Linked DNA regions of Coturnix japonica. The protein of the gene in region 3 binds, or shares a complex with, the protein of the main gene of each other region. Links are inferred from orthologs where the notes say so. Each region holds a gene or a part of one and is shown on either strand. Other genes may lie near its edges.

Region 1 (5,962 bases), on a different chromosome or scaffold from region 3:
TGTTTTACACCCATCAAAACAAGCAGGCAGACAAAGGCAATCCTGTAAGAAAGGGAAAAGACCGACGCTTTGTTTCCCCGGCCGCTCTCCGTGGCGGCGGCGAGGGGACCGGGCGGGGGGTTCATTGTGCGCGGCCCCCCGCCCCCGGGATGCGATCGTGCCATTTTGCACAAGGCGAGCACAAAAGGGGGAGAGCGCGGCTCGGGTCCCTCGGCTGCCAGTGCGGGCTAAAAATAGAATTACTATCCGCGCACAGAAATATGGCTTTTCCCTTCTCCTCGGTATGGAGGAAGAAGAAGGAGAAAAAAAAAAAATAATATATATATATATATATATATATATATATAAAGATGCACAAAGCGCACAGCCCGCAGCCCCGCACTACCTGACACCCCACGCTCGGCCCCACGCGGGGCCACCCGCACCCCCCGCGTTGCTCCCGGCCCGACGCGGCGCTGCCCATCGCGGTGGCGGCTCCCGAACAAAGAGCCCCGCGCGGTGCGGTGCGGCGGGGCGAGGCGCCGAGCTCACTTACCATCTTCAGGCCATTCCACTCCATCTGGGATCGCCAAGATGGACCCTCAGAGCCCCTCACCGAGTCGGAAGCAAAGAGAGCGTTATGTAAAAGCTGACATTCCTTCTTACAGCGCGGCTGCCCAGCGATGCAACAAAATCGACATAGACTAGGCGCTGCAACACACACAGCCTCCTCCTCTTTTTATGAGGTCATGACAGGAAACTCTTTGAAATACAATATGCAGCATTTACCGAAGCTCATATAAATCACTCGCTTTTAAAATTACCATACCTATTGCGCAGTCCACCAAAAGAAAATTACCAATCTCGAGGCTTTTTTTTTTTGTCCTCCCCTCTCCTCCCCCCCCCCTCCTTTTTCCCCCCACCCCCCCTCGAGGATTTCGCATCTCCGAACGCCGCCGTGCACGCACCCCCCGCTCGCACAAAGCCACGCACCGCCCGGCATCAGCGCTGCTCTCCGCTCCGAGCGCACCGCCGCCACCTCGCAACCAGAGTACATCCTTTATTAAAGGACGCGCAGACATTAAATATGAAAGGGAGGGAGGGAGAGAGAGAGAGAGAGGGAAGAGAGAGGGAGAGATCATGGACAAGCACAGCAAGCCACCCCCGTGTGAGACAGGCGGAGAGCGATGCACGTTTGGGGAAATCTATGTCAGCCTCTACGTCTACCTCTACAGACACCCGCTGCGACCGAGCTTAAATCTACCAATACCTACCATAACCATTCTTAATGGCAAATATTGGGTCTTGAAAGGCTTCAACTCTTCTACAGACTGGCTAAGGTTTTCGGGGACCTGACTTTTATTGGTATTTGTTAAGATCCACCAAGCACAGTGTGGGCAGCGGGCGCTGTGGGCGCGGGGCGGGCGGTGTAGCCGCGCTGCCCGCTCGCTGCTGGCGCTGCCGCTGCTGGCGCTGCTGCCGCCGGCCCCGCGCCGCGCCCATTTATGGCCCCATCTGTCAGCGGCGAACGCGCGCTCATTGGCCGCCGCCGCGCGGGGAGGCGTCGCGACATCAGGTGCTATTGAAATGAGCCGCCGCCAGATTGACGGTGTTAATGAGCCGCTGACCTCCGCCCGCAGCGGCACCGGGCGGGGTTCCGAACCGCGCCGCTCGTTAAGGCCCAGCGCGGCCCCTCACCGCCTCGACTCGGCCCTCCCAGCACCGCCGCCCGGAGGGGAGCCGGGCTCGAGGCCTGCTGCCCCCTGCGCCCCAACGGCCGCACCGCAACGCCCCTCCATGGGGCTGGGGGCGGCCCGGCGCTCGGCCGGCATTGTGCTGAGCGGAGCGTGCCCGAGTTCACCGTGAGCGCAAACACACGCGGCCTCCGCTGACAGAACAGCCGCCCCACGCAGCGCATCTACCGCCCCGAGAGCGGCGGGTTAGTGACAGCTGTCACACAGCAGCGCATTCCTATCCCATATTCTGAGATTCCCATTCCACATTCTGAGATCCCTATCCCATATTCTGAGATTCCCATCCCATATTCCAAGATCCCTATCCCATATTCCTGAGATCCCCATTCCACATCCTGAGATCCCTAGTCCATATTCTGAGATTCCTTGCTCGCAGGTTGGCCGAGCCAGCACGGCATCCTTTCATCACAGCTGACCTGGAGTTGGCTTTCACCCCCACTAAAGCGCAAAGCTCCACACGCACGCAGGGATCGCCTCATTCCACCATTCCTGGCAGTAAAGATGGTCCCTCATAGTTCAGTACTAACGGAGCGCTCCTAAACCTGGGGTGAAAGCGGAGCAGTGGGTGAGCACCACACTAAGAGCACACAGAGCTGCTTCTGAGCAGGAAAGGCAGCTCTGAACGAACCACTACACACACCTCTGAAAACACCCAGCTGGACAGACACTGCTCTACAAGTTACGCTTTATTTCTCAATCTCAATGTGCCCCCTCGGAGCTGCTCAGCTCAGAGCCGACATGCCGTACACCTCACATTGTACACAGTCGTACACACGCTCACCGAACACATGAATACAATGTATTAAATACAGTCAGATACAAAGCCCAGCTCCAAACCGACCCAGCACAGAGAAAAGCGCATGTACGAGACATCACACAGCCTGGCTGTGGAATGAGTACTGAATTCAATTAAAATAGGAACAATGTAAGGATGCTGCGGAGGGTTTCTCTCCCCATACATCTTTTTGAGCACATTTCTAGCTTGGTAAAAACTAGCAGAGATTAAAGTCACACAGAAGATCCGTTTCCCAACTCAAATATAGAGGTGACCCACTCAAACACACCGGCATCACAGTGCTACAGAGCCGCTTTATTACCATACATTCACGTGCAAATATACACCGAATACTGAAGTTAAATTTGTAATGCAAATTTTTTTTACTTATGGTCTCTTCTGGGTTAATAACAATTAGAGAAGAAAACCCAGAAATTATTTTTTCATGTCTTTTCCAAGTTGAGCTCACTTGGTTGCTATAAACTGGTTTCTGCATATCACACGATTCAGCCATTTTTCTGAAGCAATAATTGAACACTGCTCCGCTAACAAAATAAATCAGCTCTTTCGTTTCTCTATAAATCCAGGTGCTCCGCACACCGACCGCGTTCCCCACAAACACCCCCACACACACACAGGCTTTCTGAGGAGCACTAAAACAAACGCTCAACCGTCCTCAGAGGCCTCCCCTCCGTAAAGACAAAGGCAGAATCCTATTGTTGGAAAAGAAAAGTCAACCTTATTCTCTCGTCTTTCCAATAGTACCATTTATCTCTCAGGGTAAGCGCCTGGCCACGGCATCACAGTTGTGGCACATTCGTAAAGCATCAAATTCTCAATACAGCCCCTCCAGAATCCACCAGCAAGCATATTTTTAATGCAGTCTTCCATCCCCACAAAATAGAAACTTGTCTTAAACAGCTTATCCAATATCAAAATGAAATCACAGGGTTGTTTCCCAGCCCCCCCACCCCCCCTCCTCCCTCTCCTTACCATAAATGAGCAGTTTCTTGACTCATTAATGACAGTTTCCCTTAAAAGAAGTGATCTCATATCACTGAGCCCCTCTCCACCACGCATACATCCCAAAGGTTGCGGGTATCTTAGCATCAGTAGCCGCTAGCAAGCTCTCTCATACAGAGCCCAGATGGACTATACCAGAAGCCAATTCAGCGTTAATAACTACCTACTCTGTGCAGTTTAGAAGCCTTACGTGGCATAATGTCCTAGGCAACAGCAGCCGATTGAAACCGCAAATAAAAGACAACCCAATTCTCCAAAAGCATCGAAAGGAAAGGAAAAAAAAAACCATAATAAATCAAAGAACGATTTTTTTAATCTCTTACTTTCAGAAGATTAATCTGAAGCCTTCATAAACATAGGAAAAAAAGGAGAAAAAACAGATGCTGCCCAGAAAAAGTGACAAAATATTACCTCATTATTTAACAAAGCAGCATTAAGCGTCCTGCTGATTTCAAACATCTTGCCACAGATTTTGGTTAAGAGAAACAGAAAGAATCCTTTGCAAGCCCTCTGTCTGCAAAGGGTTCTTCAATTTTCTTGCGCACAACAGAATAGTCAATATGTTATTTCCCTAGAGTTCGCACATTAAAACATCTAGTCAGTGAGCTGAATTTTCCCCCTTATCACACAGTAGACTCCTGTTATATGTACTGCTCTCTTTGCAAGATTAGCCTGCCCCAAACATGGCTGTTGTTTAAACTATTCTTTAAAGTAACAGTTCACTCCATAACCACCAGGTGGGCAGTGTACACAAATTCAAGTAACCATCTTAAACATTTCTTCTTGCAATCGCTTTAGGTTGTGATACAGCAGAACCCACACCCCTACACTTATCAAGCAGGAGGAGGAAAAAAGCATGTATATGATTCAAATACATACGTATGGTTTGCACTGTTCTGTGCACTTCCCTCTCAGGGAGGGCAAATAATTTAAAAAACCCAAAACTTTCACCATTATTTTTTTAAAGGGAACTTAAAATTTACACAGGAGCATTTCATTCAGCAAATAAAAGGACTAAATGGTTACACCCAGTCAGTTCAGAGAACAAAATGTAATTAGAACGGAAAACGCACCCATTGACATGGTCTGTACTGCGGAACAAAATTAGCATCAAGCTCAGCGTGACAGTGCGTAAGGAAAACACAACATCCAGCACGTAAATAATTCACATGTGGGTAGAGTCTGTTAGGAAATACTAACCATACCTCCAAGCAAAATCACAGACAACTTGATAAGATAATGCCATGACGTAGTTTGGCTTAAATTCATTTATGAAATCACTGTTGCACGCATCAAAGCACATGACTGAAAAATGCATGGGAAGAATACACTTTAACAGTGCACGAATCTCCTCATTTATCAAACTCCCCATTCCCATGTCTGCGAGCTTCCACCAACCCCTTCTTCCATAAGGCCAAATACCTCAAGGAATACTTCCATTACTACAGAAAACAAATGTACTCTGTGCTCTACAGCAACACCCAGAGGCCTGAATGAGATCGGGATCCTTCACACTCGGTGCTATGCAAACTACTAAAAGTTGATTCTTAACAAAGGATTTGAAAACATACTAAGGGAGCACAAAACAGATGTGTGAGAAGGAACAACAAATACCAAGTGCCTCTGCAGGCCAGGCCAGACAGCTGTGAGAACTTCCAGCCACTACCTGCACAAAGGCAGAACCCAAAAGGTTATTTTCTGTGATTAAACAAAAAAAAAAGCATGATACGGACCAAGGCTTCTTTGGATTTTTCACCTACAAAGTATTGCTATTTCTTTCATACACAGCAATCCTTGCTGAGTAAGTACACACAGAGTAGCGGTTTTCTTTGTTGGCCTTTAACTAATATTAAAGTGATGCAGTAATGACTTAACCTTCTTGAATATGTATTGAGTTTCAAGTCATCCCTTTTATATGAGGAGAAAGGTTATTTGCATCGATTTCTGTTTGCATGAAATAAGCTTATTTTCTCATTCACCATATGCCTTGAACACTAATTAAAAGTGTCACTTTCTTCTAATGTAAAAGCATAACCATTCAGTAAATAAGTATCCTTGGCTTTCTGGACTTTGTGATAATCTATTTAAGGACTTTTTATTTCCAGGTAACTTCAGTGCTTGGATTACTGTATACTCCTCTGATTTCAAATGAAGTGTTTTATAAATATACGTTTCCCTCCCCCTCACCCCCAACAAAAAGAACGAAAAAAAAGAGCCAGAAGTGCATCTTGAAGGCCCCACACTCCTCTTATCCTGAGGCAAATCCATCCAATCAATATGAAACCATTCACATGCCACCATCTGCCAAGCTGTAGAGCAATGTGGCTGGAACAGACCTCTTATAAAGCAGCAGTAGTCTCATTTTCAGTCTATTAGGAAAGCACCAGAGCTCTCATGTGCAAGGACACAAAACTCCAGCTCAGGCTCTTTC
Region 2 (5,928 bases), on a different chromosome or scaffold from region 3:
CATACATTTACGAACAACAATTCAGTTTCTCTTAAAAGCCTTTAAACTAAGCCAGACTTGTTTGAAGTAATGAGATAACTTTTAAGAGAAGAACATAAAACCGTAACACCTTCCTATTTCCAAAATACTCAGACCCATGCAAAATAGTACAAAGCTGAGTAACATTATGAGTTCTATACCATATTTTGCTGGTCATGCAACTTTGTGCTCAGAGCTTAAAATGGAACGTGACAACAATTTACTTCCAACTTTGAGTTCCTTCAGAAGGAATAACCCTTATTAAACTTAAAGCTGCCCACTGCATTTCAGAGTTAAGGCAGTACTTCTTACTCTTCATCCACCAGAAGCACGTCTTAGACAAATATGATGTTATAACAGCTCTCAAAAACGGAGCCCTCAAACTAACCTGACAAACTACTGCATGTTCAGCTAAGCAGGAATTTTCTGTGTGATTTATACAGTTTTCCCACTCATTCCCAACTGGACACTAATCAGCGTGATTTTGCTTTCTCCATAGTTAAAAAAAAAAGGTCATGGAAGATTAATTTATGCGTTTTCATAAAGTTATTAAGTAATACAGTAGAAATACTTAAGTCCACATGTACGGTAAGTTACACATTGATTGTTCTCTTCAATGAAAGAATGCTCATCTACTCAACAACTGTTGGTTCCCCAACTAAAAGACAAGCTCAAGTTGACAGATCAGTAACTCTTATTTAATACATATGGATCAATGGAGGGGGAGGCAGAGCATTGATTCTCCCAAAGAGACACTCTAAGTAATTTTAATGGAATTACTTTTCCAGAAAAAAAAGCTACTTACCCTGCAGTCAGCAGCTGTATGGCGACAATAACGATAAGATGGTAATTGTAAATACCCAAAAGGTTATTTACAGGAAAAACTCACCCATATGGAAGCCTTTGGTCAGCTGGGAACCACATCCAAGAGATGCTGCCTTAGAGGTGGTCAGCCCTTAAATGAGGTCTAGAGGAGATGGAGTCAAGCTCCACCCCTTCCAGGAGCACAGCTAAATTACTCTCACCTGTGCTCCCACAGCTGACCCAACACTTGCCTCAGCTGATTAGAGGTTCAGGCTGTGATTACCAATTTCCCATATAGCTCCTATGACGCCATAATGATCAAAACATCATCACAGCAGCCACAGCAGCAGTTATACAAAAAATAACAAGAATCAGGTCATTAATCAGCAATAACCCTAATATTTCACTGTGTTCCATTGAAATAATGGCCTTCCACACACCCTTTTAACTTCAGGTACTACAGAAGCCCTCCAGAAGGCCCATTCAAACAGAAGGGAATGGACAAGCCAAGTGTAAATTAGGTGTGATTTATTTATTTGAAAACGTAAATAAAAACACTGCTGGAAAGGTTCCTTGCACATCAGTAAGGGCATGCTGATCCTCTTCATTTCTTCTTTTCAACTGCCAAGGAGCAATCTCCAAGAGGTGCTGCCTTAGTGGTGGTCAGCCCTTAAATGAGGTCTAGAGGAGGTGAAGTCAAGCTCCATCTCTTCCAGGAGCACAGCTCAATTACTCTCACCTGTGCTCCTGCAGCTGACCCAACACTTGCCTCAGCTGATTAATCAGAGGTTCAGGCTGTGATTACCAATTTCCCATACACAACAGTATTCAGACAAGGGTCAAGAAGTGATCCTTCAATTCTAAGCTTATCTAAAAGCTCCCAGCCTATTTCTTTTTGCTTCTTAAGCAGTAGCAAATCCAATGTTGTGGGGTTTAAGTGAGAAACCACCATACACACACATTTACAGATGCAAAATAAAACATAGCTCGCTTCATTCGCAATTCATCTGTAAGAGCTAACGTTTTTGCTTGCCGTACTCTAGTCGTCTAGACTACTAGAACCTAAAACACAGGTTAAAAAGCTTAAGTGTAACTGTGCTTATTAACTCTTAAGAGCTAATACAGATTTAGGGCCTCAGCACTAAGAAATCCCAAAGAAGTCCCAAATTTCAGTTTGGAGATGCTGTTTCCCAGTCCGTCTACAGGCTCCGTGCCTGCTGGTGCCCTAATGAAAGATCCCTCGTGCTCAGAGGGTTGGGAACCCCTCCCTGCATCCCACAACTCAAAGCACGGCACGGCGCCGTGTAAATCCCCACTAACCACGGCATCATCTTCTCGCTGTCACAAACCCGAACCCGCCGAGGATCACGGATTTAGCAGCGGTTCTTTCTATAAATAACTGCCTAAAGGCCGCTCTCAGCTGACCCGGGACTCCCGAGGGGCAAGAGCGGAGCGAAGCGAAGAGCAGCGGGCGGGGCGGCCCGGCTTTGTGCGGGCTGCTGGCACAATGCAGTTCCGGCGGGGAGGCTTAGGCGGCCTCACCGCCGCCATGTTAGCTCCTGCCTCCATGTGCGCGGCTCGGGGGGGACGCGGAGCCCCGGCCCCACGGCTCGGTCAGCTCCAGCGGGCAGGGGGAGCGCTGCCCGTGGGGTGCGGGGCAGCAGGAAGGCCGGGAACGGCGGCCCTTCCGCACTACAGCCCGGCAGAGACACGCCGCAATGAACAAAAGGCGGAAGGGGGAGGGGGCCGCGCCACTGGGGGCTCTCCGGGAGGGGGCCGCAATCTGTAGCGGAGCTACACCCGTCGGCCCCAACCCTCAGCCACAGCCCGGTGGGGAAGGGGGGCAGGGCTGAGTCCGGCCATTGGGGCTGAGCGGGGCCCGACTTGGGGTCAGCCTGCGGAGGGGACCCCCATAAGAGGAAGGGGGGAATGGCCTAAAGAGCGCGGCTCGCCCTTCTGGAACCTTCCAGCGGGCGGCCCCTGGGGGCGACACCGGGAACAACCCGCGCGGCCCGGAGCGGGGACGTGGGGAACATCATGGCCCAGCTCGGGGAAGGGACAGCGGCGGGACGGGGAACGGGCTGCCCGGGGCCCAGCGGGGGGAACCCGAGGGGCCCGCGACCTCCCTTTGGAGGCAGCCAGGCTTGGGGAGGAGGAGGGAAGGGAGAAGCGAGCACCTTTTTCTTCTCGAGGTTGCGGAGCTTTTTGTCGATCACTCCCAAGATCTGCTTCATGGCCTCGGTCTGAACCGAAGTGATGCTGCCTCCCGACGCCTGCGGGGCCGCCGCTGTCGCCGCCGGGGCCGTGGCCGGTGCCTGCTCGCTGCCGCCCGGTCCCGCCTTCCCGCTGCTCGCCATGGTGCTGTTGGTAGCCGAGGGCATCTCTGCGAGGGAGAGAGCGGGCGTGAGGAGAGCAGGCCGCCGCAGGGGACACGCGTGAGGCCGGGCGCGCACTCGGCCGCTTCTCCCCGCCCAGCCGCACCTGCCCGCCGAGCGCGCTCCCGCGCCACTCACTCGGCGTCGGGAGCGCGCTCAAGGCGGTCACGTGACGGGCAGGCGCGCCGCCGCTCGCCCAGCCAACGGTCATCGCCCCAGCGCGGCCATTAACACCCCCCCACATCCCTCCCCACCCCGCCGGTGTCCGGAGGGCCTCGCCGCCCCCCTCACCGTGTGCGTGAGTGGCCCAAGGGGAGGGGGGGACTCGGTGCGTCGCGCTCTGGCTCTGAGATATGACCGCCTCAGCACACTCCGGCCCCGCGCCGCTCCTTCCACCTCCGCACAGCGCTACTATGGCAGAGAGCGGGAGCGCGCACGCGAGCGCGTAAGGCGGGCGGCGCGGGAGCGAGCGACGCGGGGTCCTCGGATACAGAGAGTGCCCGTGGAGAACGCCTGAATCCGGCGAGCAGGCGGAGGAGGCGCCTTCCAGCCGCGCCGCTGGAGCTCGGGTCCTTCAGGCGCGCGGTGGGCGCCTCAGCGCCAGACACAATAGCGGGGCGGGGCGACTGCTGTCCGCCATGTTGTCCCCTGTGTGCCCGTGTGGAGCCCCCTGTTGTGTGCCTATGTCCTACTGGGCTTTGTGTTTGTCTGAAAGCAGCAGCGCAAGTGAGAGCTGTGCCTCGAATGGCTCTTCACATCAGAAAGGAGAAATCCCCTTCTCCTTCCCAGCCCCCCCTGTGCACAGTCACACAGCCCCAGTTCTAATTGTAGCTGCCCCCGAGTTAATTCGGGTTGGTAATAAAAAGAGCTTCTTTTGACATCATGCTTTAGTAGTTAATACCTCAATACTCAGAATTTTCTTTAGTAATTAATACCTGAATATTCAGAATTTTTTTTCATGGCATCTGTAAATACTGTTTTGTAGCCTTTACATCTATTCATGCATTTTAAATATCAGCCGGATGCTTTGGCAATTTATAATGGGCAATTTGCTTTCCAGATCAGTGCATTTTGCATGACAGGTTATAAGAGAAGTGCAATAATCAGCCAATCCCATGTATTTCACTTAAACAAGTGTGTCCTCAGATGTTGAAAGTCAGCATCGTTTGTACTCAAAGCTGTATTTCCAAAGAACGCCAAATCTGCAAGGAAAACAAAAAGCAGAGTTGGTGGAAGGATGTGTGATAGTAAATGAAGCAATATCTGTTGGCTCTGAATAAAGATTTTGTCCATCAATGTAAAAAATTGATTCTTAGTGCACAAGAAAATAGCGAGTCTTCAGTCCCGCAAAAAGGCTAATGATACTGCTCCTGAGAACGGTTATTACATGAGATTGCACAAGCAATAATTATGTGACAATTACTGAATCAAAGCTCTTCATAATTACAGTGGATGCCTTTTTGTCGGCCAAAGATAGAACTCTATAACTGAGCTTATGCACTAAAGCATAAACAAAGCATTACATATGTATCNTTCATAATTACAGTGGATGCCTTTTTGTCGGCCAAAGATAGAACTCTATAACTGAGCTTATGCACTAAAGCATAAACAAAGCATTACATATGTATGCAGAACTGCAAAGGGACTCTCATACCATACTGAAAAAATGACATTAGTGAATTCAAGCAATGCGTCACCACCAGACATGAACAAATATTTAACTTGGTTATGTTCGGTAGTAATTTAAGATACAATGGTAATGTGAAGTAAATTAAAGGATTGGATTATAACAGCATGTAATCATTAGCTAATTGAGAGACTTAAGAAGATGTAGGGAAATAAGTAATAATTAAATAGCAACTTGATTACGAATTCAAAGACGACAAGATTCGTGAACTTAATCACAGGATATCCTAAATCAATCTTTATGCTTACACACAGATGCAAAATGCATATGTGCAGAATCACACACAGAATGGAAAAGTCCCCCAGGAACATCCCATCCAACCACCCACCTACCACCAGTATTTTCCCATTAAGCCATTTCCCTTAGTACCACATCTAAGCATTTCTTGAACACCTCTAGGGAGTGTGATTCAACCACCTCCCTGAGTAGCCCATTTCAGTGCCTGATCAGCCTTTCAGAGACAAAAGGCTTCCTAATAACTAACCTAAACCTCCCCCTAGCACCACCTGATGTCATTCCCTCTAGTCCTATCACTAGTTATACAGGAGAAAAGGTCAACATCCACCTTGCTTCAGTGTTCTTTCAGGTAGGTCTCCCCTGAGCCTCCTCCAAACTGAGTTTCCTCAGTTGTTCCTTATAAGACTTGTGTTCTAGACTCCTCACCAGCTTTGTTACACTTCTTCTAGACAACCTCTTGAGCCTTGATGTCTTTTTTATAGTGAGGGAGTATATGGGAAATTGGTAATCACAGCGTGAACCTCTGATTAATCAGCTGAGGCAAGTGTGGGTCAGCTGTGGGAGCACAGGTGAGAGTAATTTAGCTGTGCTCCTGGAAGGGGTGGAGCTTGACTCCATCTCCTCTAGACCCCATTTAAGGGCTGACCACCACTAAGGCAGCATCTCTTGGAGATTGTTTCTTGGTGGATGTTGCTTCAGCATTTCCTAGCAGACTGATGATTTCCATGTGGGTGAGTTTTTCCTGTAAATAACCTTTTGGGTTTTTGTAACCACTATGTTTCTTTTATTGTCATTGTACAGGGTCTA
Region 3 (6,203 bases):
TCCAGACGATCACAGGTTGCTACTGCATTAAGTATTAGAGCAAACAGCCCTTGTGATCTGACAGAAACCCAACATTAATTCCTCTTGAAACTCTGAGTTCTCTCAAAGCCTTGAAAATTCATAGAAGTCTTCCTACACTTTTAATCCAAAGAAAGACTAAATAAATCAGATCCTCCCAAAGAGGCTATTCACCTCAATCAGGGCAAAGGACTTTCATATCTAAGTGGACACATCCCAATCTCACTCTATGGAAAGAATTGTTTTTCCACATGTTTCAGCTGTGACAATTTAATCCACAAGGGACAGCAATAACCTCCATTGTTTATCAGTTATCTCCTTAATGAAAAGTTAGTCAACTTTGAGCCCATACAGCTCCCTAAACTTCTCCTCTATAGAAGTAGTGACTTAAACCCTATGATTTTGCCATTAGAACAGGTTTTGTTCTGCCATCCAAGAGCTGCTCCAACAACCCGATGAAGCTGGCAGCAGGTCCAGTCCTTTTCTCTTAGCTCTGCCATTTTTTCCTATTTGGCTCCACTGCCGCTTCTCAAAGTAAAAAGGAGAAGCTATTCAGAGCAGTCAGATGAAGCAGATTAGAACACCTAGCTATACAGATATCAATGTGAAATTCAAGCTCACTCCCATTTGGAATCGAGTCACAAGAATTAAGGTTTAACCAAATGCTTCCTGCATGCCAAGCAATGGATTCCTCTTGAGTCAACTACTGCACTGCTGTCCATTCTGCTGCAGAAGACTCTTAATCCTCAGACACATCATCAGCCAACTCAGATTTATCCATCCTGGGCACCTTGTTAAGACGCTCATCATCAACACAAAATCAGCACGACAAAGAACCATAAGTTGATGTAGAAAGAGGCTGAGGCAATACAGATAGAAGTGGAAAATGGCCACCAATGCTTTGAAATTCAGTATTGCACATTTGTCTCGGTAAGGAATGCACAAATCTGCAAAGAGCTCCATAACTGACAGCTCGCCATCTCCGAGCTCTCAAAGCAAGTACTCCACCAGCTCTGCCTCTGGAAGAGATCCAGCCTTAATATAGCAGAACTAGGACTCCACACCAGGAGAATATCCATCGCCTGCACAGTTTTAGGCATTCTTACAGTAGGTGAAGATAAAGGGGTTTGTTTGGTGGATTTCTGTTGTTGTTGAGGGCAGCATTTTGCTAGCTTTAATTGCCCAGTGAGGTACCTTAAGATCATCAGGACTATCGGTTCCCACAGGACTTTAATTGCCAGTTGCTTCACATCGATTCTGGCTATTTTACACAGGCATCCATAGAAAGGATCCACTCTTCCAGGCAAAACTACCACTTCCCCCCTCCCCCCTTTATTTCAAATACAGTGAACAAGCACCACCCAAAGCCCCGCTCTACTTTGATTTCCTCTTTGATTTTTTTTCTCTCGTCACATTGCTTGGATGGACAAAAAAAGGACTCAGGTTTAATATTAAACCACAACAATTCAAGTTCTGTTTCCCAGCAGGACATTTATGTTAATCTTATGAATGCTTTATCAGAAGTTCCCAACAGAACTACCCAATATGTACAAGCAGTAACACCATTTTTGTTCCCTTTACTACATGTTCCTCCATACATGCTATTATAACCACTTGCATAGAGAAAAAGGAAACAGCTGGTTTTCTATGATCATAGAATATGATTCCATGACTCTGAACCAGCTTTCAGATGCTCCCTCAGCCATTACAGAAGGTTTGGCTCCTAGTGAACTAATTGTTACTACAGATTTTTATCACAAAGATCCTCTGTGACTTCTGGATTACAAGACCTACATCCCCAAATCACATCAACACTAAGAACTAACCTTCTATTTTGCTATGAGGCCCACTCAGCCATTTTTTAACCTCAAAAAGGAGATTCCATACTTCTCTAGGCTGAAGTAAATATAGTGAATGATGACTTCACTGAATATATTGACTCAGACACCTCTGAAAGAGGTGAGCCCAGTTCACAGGATGCCCATATGGTTATAGCAGCACCATAGATTATCATGGATCTTTTAGCACAATGACTAGGCTTCCTCTTCAGAGAAAGGGAAGTTTATATTAAAAAAAGTGAAAACCAGGCCAAAAGGAAGAGTATAGAAACTAACTAAAGCGCAGGGTTTGTCTGTCAGCTCCTGCACTCCATCCTCTTATTGATGCCTGTCCATAGAGCCTTGTTGGCTGGGAACAACTCAACACATAACATTCAATTCAGAGCACTTGAAAGCGTGAGCTTATAGAGCTACAACAGCATCACCCACGTTTCTTAAAGCCGTCACTTCATCCTGGAGAGCACAGGCTGGACAAAAATAGCATGGCCTGGAAACATGGCTGCTTGCTGCAAATGCTGCTTTCAGCCAATCGTGGAGAAAAAAAAACCCAAGTCATTGTTTTGTGCACGTAGTGAGCATTCATTGCAAAAAGCCTTAACAAAAGAAGTCACCGGGTATCTCCGTTAAAATCAGTAACTCAGAAGGTCGTCCAGATCAGGAGCAAAGCGCACGTGGATGATATCCAAACCTTTCCGCCGTTGTTCCAGGCGCATTTCGGGCCTTGTAAGAAGCTGAGCAGCCTCCTCACAAACAGTGCTTTAAATCTTGGCTCGATCCCGGCCCAGCCAAGGTCATGCGGGCAGCCGAGCTCCTCCATCCCCGCGGTGCCATCCCCGAACACACGCATGTGGCAGCGCGCTGCTCGCGGCCCGGAGGGAGCGCTGAGCCCGTGCAGCCCAGAACCGAGCTGTGGGTTATCTCACATCGCCCTTCCCTCCTCCCAAAACCAAACAAAGCAATAAATAAAAAGCACGGGATGAAAAAGAAGGAGGAAAAAAAAAGAAAGAAAGCAAAAAAAGAAAGAAAGGCAGGCAGGCAGCGCGCAGAGCCGAGAACAAAGCTCGCAGCCCCGCATCCCGATGCACATAATGCCGGCCCGCTCCCCCCCCCTCCTCCCGGCCCCAACGGCCGGTAACCACTCCCGCACGGCGCCCCGCAGCCCCGCGCCCGGCTCACAAGGCCCCGATAGGCCCCCCCCCCATACACACAGTGCTGCCCACAGAGCCGGGCCGGGCCTCACCGCGCTGCGACGGCCGGCAACGAGCGGGGCCCATCCCCAACCCCAACCCCATCCCCCCCCTCCAGGCCTCGGCCTACCCCGGGGATAGGGGGCAGCGCTGAGGGGGATGGAAATGGGATCGCCCCGGTGCACGCAGCCCTCCGCCATCCCCACGAGGCCGCGGCCCCGCTCCCAGCCCGGCCCTGCCCCCCTCACCTGCGGGCGGAGCGGGACGGCAGCGGGAGGCGTCGCAGGAGCACAGGCCTGCCCGGCGGACGACAAGCACCTCACGCAACGGCGTGCTCTGCCGCCGGCTACATATATCCGGCGCGCAGCCTAACCCGGCGGGAGGCTGCTCCACCAATCACACAGCGCCGCTCTCCTTCATTCGGACGCTGATTGGTTCGGAGAGGGGAAAGGAGGCGGGATGATAAATGAATGGCAGCTCACTCTATCAACCACGCGGCCTGGCTGCGCGGAGCGGGGAGATTGACAGACAGCGATCCGAACCAATAGGAGGCGAAGCTCTCGGTGCTGAGGCGGGGCTAGACCTAACGGTAGCCAATAGGACGACGCTGACCGCGAGACCAGGCGCGAAAGGCGGGGCAGGCGTGACGCCGTAGTGTGGTTGAAGCGCACAGCAGCGCCCTTGAGAAGGTGCTGGTAAACCCCGTTAGAGATGGGGGCGGGACCTATCCAATCCTATCCAATGGGAGGGCGCGACGGGCTATGATGGACAGGCAGGGCCTTAAAGGGACAGTCACCCCGCACGAGGGGCGGCATTGAGTGCCCCGTACCACCCCCTGCTGGGGGGCAGCGCTGGGACGGGCATTGGTTATCACTAAGAGCAGGCTGCGAGATCTCCAATGGGCCTCACTAGGTCGCCTCTGACCCCCTGAGCCTCATCTGAACAACACATAGTGCAGGTGTGGATGCTGAGGACAGCAGGATGGAGGAGCAGCAGGTAGCTGGCTGAGCAGGCTGTGTTTGTATCCCATCATATCTATGACATGAAGCACTATCAGATATATTGGACTGTCTCAGACTGAGTCCCTCCCCACCACCACATCCCAGCCCTGCCCACCCCCCTCCCTGTGTGCCCGGCTATTTATAGGGCTGCAGCACAATCTGCCAGCGCATCAATCACAGCTGTGGGGCTCAACGTCAGAGCAGTGACCCACAGCTCAAATAACCACTGCTGGGACCACGGCGGCATTGGGAGGAAAGGGAGCTCACGTTGTGATAGAGCAGCACAGCAGCCAGGTCCTGTGTGCAGCACAATGAATGTCTATGGGCTCTCAGTTGGCATCCCCCTGGGTGAGCAGAGCAAAGGCCTTCAGCCCTAATCCTGCTTTGCTGTGACCCATAGAGCTGCCATTCAGCCTCACCGATCAGGAAAACGGGAAGAGCAACATAACCAAGGGGCTGTTCTCAGAACAAAAACATCCTAAAACATACATCGTCCCTAAAAGGCCATTCAAACAGCTTTGCTCAGCCTTAAGACCACACCAAAAAGCCCCCAAACACCCGCAGCAAATGACTTGTCTCACTAAGAGCCGAACATTGAAGCTTCACGGGCAGCTCGTACCCTACCGAGCCTCCTCGGGCCCCGGGGGCGCTGTGCGGAGCTGAGCTCAGCGCCGCCCCTTCCTCCGAGCCGGGAACCGGGAGCCGGAGCCACGCCATGCCGGTGGGTGCGGGACGGGAGGGCGGCGGGGGGGACAGCGAAGGGCCGGGGGATGGAACCACCTTGAGCTTGTCAGAACATGAAGGAAATGCCAGTTCCGCATAGGAATGGTGATAAATGGTGATGCTGAGCGCTTTGGTTTTGCTCAGTTCCGCACTGATCCGCGCTGTGATGATAGTGGGGGGTTAAAGGTGGTTTGGAGTAAAAAGATGGAGGGGTTGAGGGTGGGAGACAGGGAGCAGCATTGATTTTCTTGTTTAAGGATATCAGGTGAAGGAGATAGGGCCTGTCCCGTACAGAAGGCTGAGCACAGTGGATAGCCTTAGGGCCACGCATGTGTGCACTGTGAGTACTGCGGGTAGTGGTCCTCAAGCTTATTTTCATGATGTTTTTATGAGTTTGGGGCATGATGATATGATATATGATAGGATAGGCATTGCAGAGCAAAGCAGCAGGCTTGCTCCTCCTGGGCTGTGCATACAATGGGTCCAGGAGAATCACAGAATCACAGAATGACCCGGGTTGGAAGGGACCTCAAGGATCATGTAGTTCCAACCCCCCTGCCTAGCAGGGCCAGGAGAACCCCCTGAGAGCTGTGCTGGCCCTGGAGGTGTCCTGATTCCAGTGCATGGTTGGAGCAGGCAGCCTCCAGAGGACCCTCCAGGTGGTGGTGAATGCTGCTGAACCCTCATCTGTCTTCTTGCAGAAACACGAGTTCTTTGTGGACATGACCTGCGAAGGCTGCTCCAATGCAGTCACCCGTGTCCTGCATAGACTGGGAGGTGAGTCGAGCTACAGGGTGTATTATGACTCTGGGGCCAGATGTCACTGCCCCAGGGTCCTCTGTTTTGAGCAGGAAGCAATGTGGGTAACAGCAGGAAGTGTCTGAGTGGAAACCTCTGCACCTTATCACTCTGCTTTGAGCTGCTGGTAGCTGATTGCTAGCAGGGCTGGCGTAACCCTTGGAGAAGAAACACGGGAAGGATAAAGTGCTGGGGATGCAGGAGGCTTCAGGCATCAGGTGGCTTTGTGCACCACCAGGGCCTCATCCTGAACCTGCCAGGAGCTGCACCCCCCTGCTCAGGATGGCTGGGAAGAAGAAGAGAAGGTGGATCTCCTGCCAGGCCACTGGTAGCTGCAGTGCTTCTCTGGATGTGTCATCAGCATCCAAATGCAGAACAGTCATGGTGAAGAGCTGCTGAGCAGAGGGTTTGGTGGTTGCTTGCACAGCCTGTTTTTTGTTCAACCTGGAAAATTATAACTTGTGTCTCCTCTGTGCTGAGAGCAGCAAGAGAGCAGGATCTGGCCTGCACTCACCAGTTATGAGGACTTTTGATCCTGCTTACCCATCCTCACCAAGTGGGAACAGCTCTCAGTCACCAAGCTGAAGGCTGTGAGAATTCTTCAGGACCCCATTGCCAGGCTGTGGTGATTCCAGTTC

The links. Proteins that work in one complex are often made in the same cells at the same time.
Region 1: G3BP1 (region 3) and ELAVL4 share a complex: the UniProt entries of both Homo sapiens proteins name them as parts of the TAU mRNP complex. The link is inferred for Coturnix japonica from reciprocal best matches to the Homo sapiens genes G3BP1 and ELAVL4.
Region 2: the proteins of G3BP1 (region 3) and CAPRIN1 are in contact, whole or in part, in a crystal structure (PDB 8TH7), measured with the Homo sapiens proteins. The link is inferred for Coturnix japonica from reciprocal best matches to the Homo sapiens genes G3BP1 and CAPRIN1. Residues at the interface, in NP_005745.1 of Homo sapiens: Glu4, Lys5, Pro6, Ser7, Leu10, Val11, Glu14, Phe15, Arg17, Gln18, Thr21, Leu22, Met29, His31, Arg32, Phe33, Tyr34, Gly35, Lys36, Gln58, Lys59, His62, Leu114, Glu117, Asn122, Lys123, Phe124, Tyr125; in NP_005889.3 of Homo sapiens: Met363, Gln365, Met366, Gln367, Gly368, Pro369, Tyr370, Asn371, Phe372, Ile373, Gln374, Asp375, Ser376, Met377, Leu378.

Annotation. Positions count from the first base shown.
Region 1 is NC_029523.1:21,013,529-21,019,490, reverse strand, and holds the start of ELAVL4 (ELAV-like protein 4), read right to left. Parts: upstream 3,679-5,962; 5' UTR 3,619-3,678; coding exon 3,502-3,618; intron 1,672-3,501; exon of another isoform or gene 1,263-1,671; coding exon of another isoform or gene 1,254-1,262; intron 1,093-1,253; exon of another isoform or gene 1,062-1,092; coding exon of another isoform or gene 948-1,061; intron 825-947; exon of another isoform or gene 560-824; coding exon of another isoform or gene 536-559; intron 1-535. UniProt on the Homo sapiens protein: RNA-binding protein that is involved in the post-transcriptional regulation of mRNAs. Plays a role in the regulation of mRNA stability, alternative splicing and translation.
Region 2 is NC_029520.1:6,354,840-6,360,767, forward strand, and holds the start of CAPRIN1 (caprin-1), read right to left. Parts: upstream 3,679-5,928; 5' UTR 3,489-3,678; intron 3,206-3,488; 5' UTR 3,204-3,205; coding exon 3,000-3,203; intron 1-2,999. UniProt on the Homo sapiens protein: mRNA-binding protein that acts as a regulator of mRNAs transport, translation and/or stability, and which is involved in neurogenesis, synaptic plasticity in neurons and cell proliferation and migration in multiple cell types.
Region 3 is NC_029528.1:5,160,073-5,166,275, reverse strand, and holds the start of G3BP1 (ras GTPase-activating protein-binding protein 1), read right to left. Parts: upstream 3,424-6,203; 5' UTR 3,292-3,423; intron 1-3,291. Other genes in the region: copper transport protein ATOX1, read left to right, coding at 4,760-4,765, 5,469-5,544. UniProt on the Homo sapiens protein: Protein involved in various processes, such as stress granule formation and innate immunity. Plays an essential role in stress granule formation.